Ovis aries: one gene and its partner. The protein of the gene in region 1 binds, or shares a complex with, the protein of each later gene. Links are inferred from orthologs where the notes say so. Each region holds a gene or a part of one and is shown in the gene's direction. Other genes may lie near its edges.

Region 1 (4,178 bases):
GGGATTGGGGGTAGGAGGAGAAGGGGACGACAGAGGATGAGATGGCTGGATGGCATCACTGACTCGATGGACGTGAATCTGAGTGAACTCCGGGAGCTGGTGACGGACAGGGAGGCCTGGCGTGCTGCGATTCATGGGGTCGCGAAGAGTCGGACACAACTGAGCAACTGAACTGAACTGAACCGAACCTGGAATAATGGTTCTCAAGCTTTGCGTGCTGTCAGAATGACCTGGAGGGTTGTAAAAATAGATTTTCTGGACCCTATCCCTACTCGGAAATGAATTGTCTGAGGAGACACATCTGCTGACAAAGCAAGAGATTTTATTGGGAAAGGGCACCCGGGTGGAGAGCAGTAGGGTAAGGAAACCCTGTAACCTTATTCTGAGCAATATGATTAATGACATTCCAATTATCTGGTGCTACTAGGTAGAAATAAGATTTTATAATATACTTGTGTTTGCATTTTACTATTTATAGATTCGTGATTATCTTTCTTCTTTGCTGTTATGCCTTCCTTTGCTATCATGAATATCACAAAAATACCTACAACAGCTTCATTTGATTTTTTCCCCCTGTGATAGGTATTCACAATTTCTCTTCTGAATAGTTTTTAGATTTGAATCTAAATAGTTTACTCATGTCAGTGAAATTATGCTTTAAGGGGGAAGACAGTGTTGCTGAAACCCCAGATAAAGGGACTTAGTTTCAAAAGTGTCCAAAGACTCTTGTGAGAAGGACATTTTTACTCTTAAAGGTCCGTCTAGTCAAGGCTATGGTTTTTCCAGTAGTCATGTATGGATGTGAGAGTTAGACTGTGAAGAAAGCTGAGCATTGAAGAACTGATGATTTTGAACTGTGGTGTTGGAGAAGACTCTTGAGGGTCCCTTGGACTGCAAGGGTTTCTTGGGCGAGGACTCGTTATTTCCAATTCCAACACGTACCAGATAGAAGATTGGATCAGGGACCACACTTTGGCGGACTCCTGGTTGTTTTCCAGACTGCCCCTATGAAGGGCTGAGGATCCATCTAGTCCACTTAGGTTTAACTGCTCCGTTTCTGTCGTGTCCGGGAAGCCGGGGAGCAAGGAGACCCTTGTTAAAGTCCAAACCCGAGGTGCGTTATCAAGCTGCTGACAGCGAGTACTCCTGAGGCTTTGCAAAAGGTTCCTCCCTCAGGCGGAGGCCGGCGGAGGTCAGATAACACTGCCCTGCGGTCCCGCGGCCGCGTGTGGCCCCAGGCTCTCGGCTCCGCCGGCTCCGGGCTCCGCGGCTGCGGCGGCGGGGCGGGGCGCGGGGCGGGGGCGGCGCGGGGCGGAGCCAGGCCCCGGGTCCTCGGTCAAGCGACGCCGAACGGCTGCCCCGGCTGACTGCGGAGCCGGGAGGCCCGAGAGCGGACGGACATGCCGGGGGTCGTGCGCCTCCTCGCCCTGCTGCTGGCGCCGCTGCTGCTGGGCTCCGCGCGTGGTTTGCACGTAAGTCCACAGGACCCCGCGCACAAATGATGAATCGGGGGAGCGCAGGCGGGGAACCGGGCTGGGGCTGCGGCCCCCTGCGGCCCCCTGGGCGGGGGTCCTGGGACCCCGAGGCCCGCCCGGGCCCGCCCGGCTACGCGGGAAGCTCAGGCAGTGGGCCGGCCCTCCCGCCGGGGCCGGGCCGGGCGGGGCGCGCGTCCTTGCCGGGCGCTCTGTCGCTGGTGAGTTCCGCTCCCGCCGCCTCTGTCGCCGAGAGCCACTTCCTTATCGGTGCAACCAGGGGCCGAGATGAGGTGCTTTCCAGCTTGGCGGGTTTCCGGGAGTGGGATCGGAGTCGCGCGCGCTCCTGGAGGCCGCCGGAGCCTCGGGCTTGGCGCGCCTCTCCTGCCTGCGCTGTGCGGAGCGCTCCGGAAGGAGAATAGCGGAGTCACGAGAGGCCGCAGCAATGGGAACACTGGGTTAATTACCTTCGGGGTGTGCTCTTTGAGGACGTCTCTTGCCCGTCTCGCTACTTCCCTCCGCCTGCTTTTAAGGCTTGGATTTTTCAAAGCCTCCGCGTTTGACGGTGGGCCAGGGGCAGGCTGCAGGTGGCCGCCAGCGTTGCTGGAGGGAGGTCTGGGCCGGCGGGCTGTGTGCTGGGGCGGGGACGCGGGGGCCGGGGAGGTGGGGGGAGTCGTGCACGGCTTGCGGGAGGACAGCCTCAGTCTGCCCGGCAGAGCTAAGGGAGCGGCCGAGGGAACTCGGGGTCTTGGAAAGGTGGGGGTGAGGAAGATCTGAGCTGGGAGATGAGAATGGGGACTTGAAACGGGCGCCTTTCTCTCTGCACTTTCTGGGACCTAATTTTGGTTCCTCCAGAGTTCCGATGGGCTGAGTCTGGGGTTTGTTTTATAAGTAGAAGCTGGTGAACTTGACAAGGCCTACATTTATCTAAAAGCAAGGTTGAGAGTTTTACTTGGAAAACAACTGCTGAAAATATTTTCGTTTGGGGTCTTATTGGGAAAAGGTCACCTCAAGTGAATATTTGCTAACCTTTGTCTATCCAGGTCTGTAGTTCCCTTGCAGTTTTTTGTCTGGGAGCCAGCCAGCTGTAAGAACCAATCAGGAGACTGGCTCCACCCCAGGAATCTTTATGTCAGTTGCCTCGGTTCTCCTTCTTGGCCTACAGCTGAAAAAAAAATACCAGCAGACTAGCTTTCCATGGCTCCCTGGTTTACACGTTAGAACAGCGGTTCTCAAACTGTAACTGTCCTAGAAGTTAGAACATTTAAAACTATATGTTAATAAACTATATATATATATATATTTTAAACAAGTTGTTCTCTCCAGTTTTTAGGGCACAAAGTGACATTGTACATTTTTGCAAATCTCTTTCATGTTTTTTTTTTTTTGGAGATTAGACTTTGTTTTTTTCAAACTTTAAATTTTTTATTTTGTATTGAGGTATAGCTGATTAACAATGTTGTGGTAGTTCCAGGTGAACAGCGAAGGGACTCAGCCATATGTATACTTGTATCCATTCATGTCTGTCTTAATAGATGGCTGTTGAATGCTCGTAACTAATTCTGCATTCAGTTCTGCCATTTCACATGTCACGTAACCTCTGGAAACTTCACTGTACATTCATGAGAGAATGATTATGGCTTAGTACTGTTTTTGAAAACAGTCAGTAGACACCGCCCCCCGCCTCGCTTCCCCCGCAACCCCAACAGCCAAAGGGTCTCCCTGGACCACACTTTGAGAACCGCTGATTTAGAATAATGTTTTTCTTATTATAAAAGTTCATATACATGTTGTGGAAATACTTGAAAGATGCAGAGAACTGTAAGAAAAGTGAAACTGCCCATCTTGTTACAATCAGGTGTGTTTGTAGTTCACTGGTAAAGTGTAGCAGCTGACTAGTTTTGACTGGTTTGAGTGAGTGGCTTGGATTCAAGGCTGGTTGGGCAGATGTAAGTGGTCTTCAGGTTTTGACAGGGGACTAGAAAGCTCTCATATCCCACAAAGCTGACGCCGGTTCCTGGTTGCAGGAGGAGCTGACCTGGAAACCTGTCCTTGGCCACTGTCCTATCTAAGGAACTCACCTTCCAGAGCTCACCCACACAGAGCTGGAGGGGTATCCTCTTAGGAGCTGAGGCAATGACGATCTTCAGGCAGCTGTCCCTGGGGGCAAAGGCCGCCCTGGCTGCCGGGACTGTCTTCGTGTCCATGATTGTCTCCCGGTCCTACCTGGCGGAGAGCTTGGAGTTCAGGGCCTGGCGATGCCTGTTCCGCCTGCAGCTCGCCCTGTTTGCCAACTCGCTCATGCTCCTCGGCTCCATCTTCATCTGGCGTAGCACCGTCAGCAATCTCAAGCATTCCCCGGCTGCAGAGTCAGCCTGTTTCCAGCTCTGGAAGATGATCGTCGTGGCCTTCCTGGCCCTGGCGCATTCCAGCTTCTTCACCATGATCTTTCTAGTGGCCGAGGAGCCCTATCTCTTTTCCCTGGTTGCCTACACCTGCCTTGGGGCTTATGTCATCATGCTCTGCTTCCTCTGTGTCCTCAGCGGCATGGAGCAGGCCTACCAGCTCCTGGCCTGGCGTGCCGGCAGAGCAGTGGGCAGCCTTGATAAGACCAGGAAGCTGGCCCTTCGGCCGGCACTGGCAGTGGTGGTAACCACTGTGCTCAGCGTGGTGGGGCTGCTGAACGCCGCCCAGCCCCCAGTGGTG
Region 2 (4,338 bases), on another chromosome or scaffold:
CAACTTAATCGATCACAGCCAAGGTGGGTAAATCGAGGCCCAAAGCCAGGGGAATTGACTTGTCCAAGGCCACAGGCAGAGGCAGAATCTGAAGTCAGATTCCCCCCTCCACCTTTTTTTTTTTTTTTTTAATATTTATGTATTTATTTGGCTGTGCCAGGTCTTAGTTGCAGCACGCAAACTCCTAGCTATGGCACGTGGGATCCAGTTCCCTGACCAGGGATGGAATCCCAATTCCCTGCATTGGGCCCACTGAGTCCTAGCCACTGGACCACCAGGGAAGTCCCAGGTTCCCCAACTTCTAAAGCAACCCTGGACAGACCAAGGCCTTGCCAGCTGGTCCAGAAGTCCTAGCAGGTTTCTGTCCCCACTGGGGGCCAGGAGGGGTCGCTGCCCAGGGGATGGGATACCTACAGCCATACTCCAGCTGGATCAAGCGCACGCTCTTGGTGGAGGCGAAGACGTCCACCACCGCGTAGAGGGGCTGGGCAGCTGGCAGCCCCCGGGCGCTGGGGCCCATGTCCTCGCCGTTGATGACGATATGCATGTCAGCCGTGCCATCCGGGCGCGGGCAGAAGAGAACGCCCAGGCGGCTGCGGCGCGCGGTCGGAGGCAGCACATTCAGTTCATAGAGCTGATCCAAGAGGTGGCTGTACAAACCCGGCCGGCTGCGGCCGACCAGGCGATCGCGGGGAATGCGAAACTGCTCGATGCAGAGATACGGTTCCACCAGGAGTGCTGGGGGGCGACTAGGGGCTAGGGCCTCTGCCTCCGGGCGGCCCTCCCGGGGCACGCGGTTATGATGGCGCGTGATGGCGAAGACCCAAGTATGCCCAAGGCTGACCAGGTCAGGTAGCGAAAACTCGGGCACGGCGGCCAGACTGGCGGGGTCCAGCGCGGTCAGGCCGAGGCGCAGGTGCCCGCACCAGCCCAGCTCTTTCTCCTCGATCTCCACCAGGAACAACTGGCCGGGGGCCAGCGGCTCGCGACTGAAGCACACACCGTGGGCGAAGCTCTCCACGCGTGTGGCCCGCGTCCCGGAGAGGTCGACGCGGATGTTGGCACCGTGCACTGGGTGGAAGCGGGTGGGAGGGGGCTCGGGGCGCGCCGGTCCCCGCGGAGCACCCAACCCCACGGGGTCGGAGACAGCAGCCATCTCCCGGCCATGGGGCAGATCGGCGGGCGCCGGAGGCTATTTTGGGCAGCGGACTCAGATGGTGACCGCCGGGGGAGGGGGAGTGTACCATGTAAGGTATTGCCCTCCGCCCACCGACTCCCTTCCCCAAGGCTCTGCCCAGGGGTCCTAGCGCCGCTAGTTTGGCCATCCCGCCTCGATGCGAGTCCCAGGAGGCTCGGGACCGCCGGCGCCCGGGATGCGACCTGCCGAACCCGCTGACCTTCGCCCGGGTGGAACCTCCGCCGCCCCCGTCCTGCCCGCCTGGGTCCTTAGAGGCCAGAAGGGGGCAGGAGGCGGCCCGTCACGTGATGCCGGGGCACACGTGACTCGGAGTACACATGACTTCCCGTCGCCGGGCCGGCACCTCCAGGAGAGCAAGGACGCGAGGGAGCGGAGGTGAGAGGGATCCCGGGGCTGGAAGGGATCCCGGAGGCTGGAAGCGATCCGGGAGCGCCCCGGGCGGGGCGCGACGGAGGAGGCACGGCGGGTGGGAGCTGGGGCAGGGCAGGGGCTTCCCTGGAGGGTGCGCCGCCAGCTCCCCGCCAGGGGCGGCCGAGCACAGAGCGGGCGAGGCCACAGCGGGCACCCGCTTCCCGCCGCAGATGTTCCGAGCCGAGCTGTGGCCGCCAGTCCTCTTCCTGCTGCAGCTGCTGCTGCTGCTCGCCTGCTCGCCCGAGGGCGAAGCGGCCCCCGACCAGGACGAGATCCGCTTCCTGCCCGGGCTGGCCAAGCAGCCTTCTTTCCGCCAGTACTCCGGCTACCTCAAAGGCTCCGGCTCCAAGCGCCTCCACTACTGGTCTGCAGCCCTGTCTCCCAGGACGGGGTTGGGAGGGGGGCACTGCAATGCCCACCGTGGGGGGAGATGATGGTGTGGGGGGTTGTCCTTAAGACCCCTGAGGGATCGGACTTGCCTGGGGGTCCGCTGGTTAAGGCTGCAGTGCTTCCAGCTGCAGGGGACTGGGTTTCCATCCCTGGTTGGGGGACTAAGAACTCGCATGCTCTGCCGTCAAAGTGAGATGAAGAAGAAAAAAAAAATCCCTGAGGAAATCCAGGAGTAGGGAAGGCTGGAAGACCGAGCTGCACCCAGTCCCTCGCACCAGCACCCACCCTAGACTGACTCCCCGCCCCGCCCCCCCCCCCCCCCAGGTTTGTGGAGTCCCAGAAGGATCCGAAGAGCAGACCCGTGGTTCTGTGGCTCAATGGAGGGCCAGGCTGTAGCTCCCTTGACGGCCTCCTGACAGAGCACGGCCCCTTCCTGGTGAGTGGAGAGCAGCGGGGTCACCCCCTGGTCAGAGGCAGGGAGGGGACAGTTCCCAAAGGAAAAGGCCCGGGAAGAGGGAGAAAAGGACTTTGGTCTTCCAAAAAATGTGTCCGTTTCCTGAGCCTCGGTGTCTTCATCCATACCCCTGACTTGACAGTTTCATATCTCAGGGGGTTTTGCCTGGTTGTGCAATACCCAGCAGGGTGACCTTCCCCCACTGCACCCCCCACCCAGCTGACTCTTGGAATTTAGCCATCTCTTTCCTCCACAGATCCAGCCAGATGGTGTCACCCTGGAGTACAACCCCTACTCCTGGAACCTGGTATCGCTGCCCCTTTGGGTCCTGGGTGGGTGTCTCAGCAGTTGGATGGGGAAGGGAACAGCCCCCCTCAACCCATTTCCACTTCCCCTCTAGATTGCCAACGTGTTATACCTCGAGTCCCCAGCTGGAGTGGGCTTCTCCTACTCCGATGACAAGTCTTATGCCACCAATGACACGGAGGTGAGTCCAGAGTCCGCCCTCGTGTCCCAGTCTCCCTGGCTGGCGTGACGCAAGGAGAAAGAGAGCCTGGTCTGGGGGCCCATTTGTGGCTCTGTCACCAGCTCTGGGGTGTGGGCTTGGACTAGTCACAGGCTCTTGCACAAACAGGGTGGGTGGGTGTCATTATCTCTGAGATTGTTTGTAGCTCAAGCCCCACCACTTTCTGATTCCCTCTATCCTGCCCTCTCTAGGTCGCCCAGAGCAACTTCGAAGCCCTTAAAGATTTCTTCCGCCTGTTCCCAGAATACAAGGGCAATGAGCTTTTCCTGACTGGCGAAAGCTATGCCGGCATCTACATCCCAACCCTGGCAGTGCTGGTCATGCAGGACCCCAGCATGAACCTTCAGGTGCAGGGAGGCTGCAGAGGGGAGGGAGGCCTAGACTTGTGGTTAGCAAGGTCAAACAGCTCCACTCCTCCACCCACGTCTTGGGCAATCCCCTGCGGCAGGTCTCCCCAGGCATGTGGTACCCCAGGTCCTACCTCCCCTGCTCTATGAGCAGAACGTCAGCTCCTTCGTCCACCTCTTCCTTCATGACACCCCTTGCCACTCGCTGGCCCCTCTGGGCTACGTGCCTCCCCTGACCGGAAGCTCACTCATCAAGCTGCCGACTCCATTCTTTACACCGAGTGGCCTCCCCCGCCCAACCACTCCCACACACTGGGTTTCAGCTTCCAGACTGCTTAAGGTTTGGGTGGAGGTCAAAGGAGGCTCTTCTGGCCCACGTCCAGATGAGCTGAACGCCCTGGGTGTTTCACAGGGGCTGGCGGTGGGCAATGGACTCTCTTCCTATGAGCAGAATGACAACTCCCTGGTCTATTTCGCTTACTACCATGGCCTTCTGGGGAACAGGTATGGGAGAGGACCACTGGGCAATCCCTGTGGCGTGGCGGGTCATAGGGGTCTCAGGTCTGTCCTCCAGGCACATGCTATCTCGGGTCCTGCCCTGGTTTATGAGCAGAAGTTGGGGGGCAGGGGAGGTGGGTGAGGCTGGGATTTTGATGTGGAAAGATGAAAGGGTCTTTCATGTAAAGATCAGAATGTAAAGAAATGAAGGAGGGCTGGCAGGATGGCCCCAGGGCAGCTAGGTTTGAGAGCTACATACCACGTCCTCTGATAAATGTCTTTGTCCCCAGGAAACAGGTCCCTTGGGTCCAAGCCCTGACAGGGAAGTTGAGAAGGTGGGGTACTTGCCTTCTCTGGCCCACCATGGGCCTAAGCAGTTATCATTCATCTCTTACAGGCTCTGGTCTTCCCTGCAGACGCACTGTTGCTCTCAAAACAAATGTAACTTCCACGACAACAAAGAGCCAGAATGCCTGGCCAATGTGCGGTTCTGCCCCCGCCCTGCGCCACCGCC

What was found. Proteins that work in one complex are often made in the same cells at the same time.
Region 2: the proteins of GLB1 (region 1) and CTSA are in contact, whole or in part, in a cryo-EM structure (PDB 7KDV), measured with the Mus musculus proteins. The link is inferred for Ovis aries from reciprocal best matches to the Homo sapiens genes GLB1 and CTSA. Residues at the interface, in NP_033882.1 of Mus musculus: Tyr198, Asp199, Arg202, His206, Leu229, Thr233, Leu234, Gln235, Asp236, Leu237, Lys258, Phe259, Glu260; in NP_001033581.1 of Mus musculus: Glu29, Asp31, Ala37, Lys38, Gln39, Pro40, Ser41, Phe42, Arg43, Tyr107.

Annotation. Positions count from the first base shown.
Region 1 is NC_056072.1:7,452,222-7,456,399, reverse strand, and holds the start of GLB1 (beta-galactosidase), read left to right. Parts: upstream 1-1,365; 5' UTR 1,366-1,400; coding exon 1,401-1,472; intron 1,473-1,686; exon of another isoform or gene 1,687-2,037; intron 2,038-3,499; exon of another isoform or gene 3,500-3,608; coding exon of another isoform or gene 3,609-4,178. Other genes in the region: TMPPE (transmembrane protein with metallophosphoesterase domain), read left to right, coding at 3,609-4,178.
Region 2 is NC_056066.1:74,627,289-74,631,626, forward strand, and holds the start of CTSA (lysosomal protective protein), read left to right. Parts: upstream 1-1,525; 5' UTR 1,526-1,573; intron 1,574-1,779; coding exon 1,780-1,973; intron 1,974-2,323; coding exon 2,324-2,435; intron 2,436-2,709; coding exon 2,710-2,760; intron 2,761-2,853; coding exon 2,854-2,940; intron 2,941-3,170; coding exon 3,171-3,326; intron 3,327-3,738; coding exon 3,739-3,830; intron 3,831-4,221; coding exon 4,222-4,306; intron 4,307-4,338. Other genes in the region: NEURL2 (neuralized-like protein 2), read right to left, coding at 415-1,156. UniProt on the Homo sapiens protein: Protective protein appears to be essential for both the activity of beta-galactosidase and neuraminidase, it associates with these enzymes and exerts a protective function necessary for their stability and activity.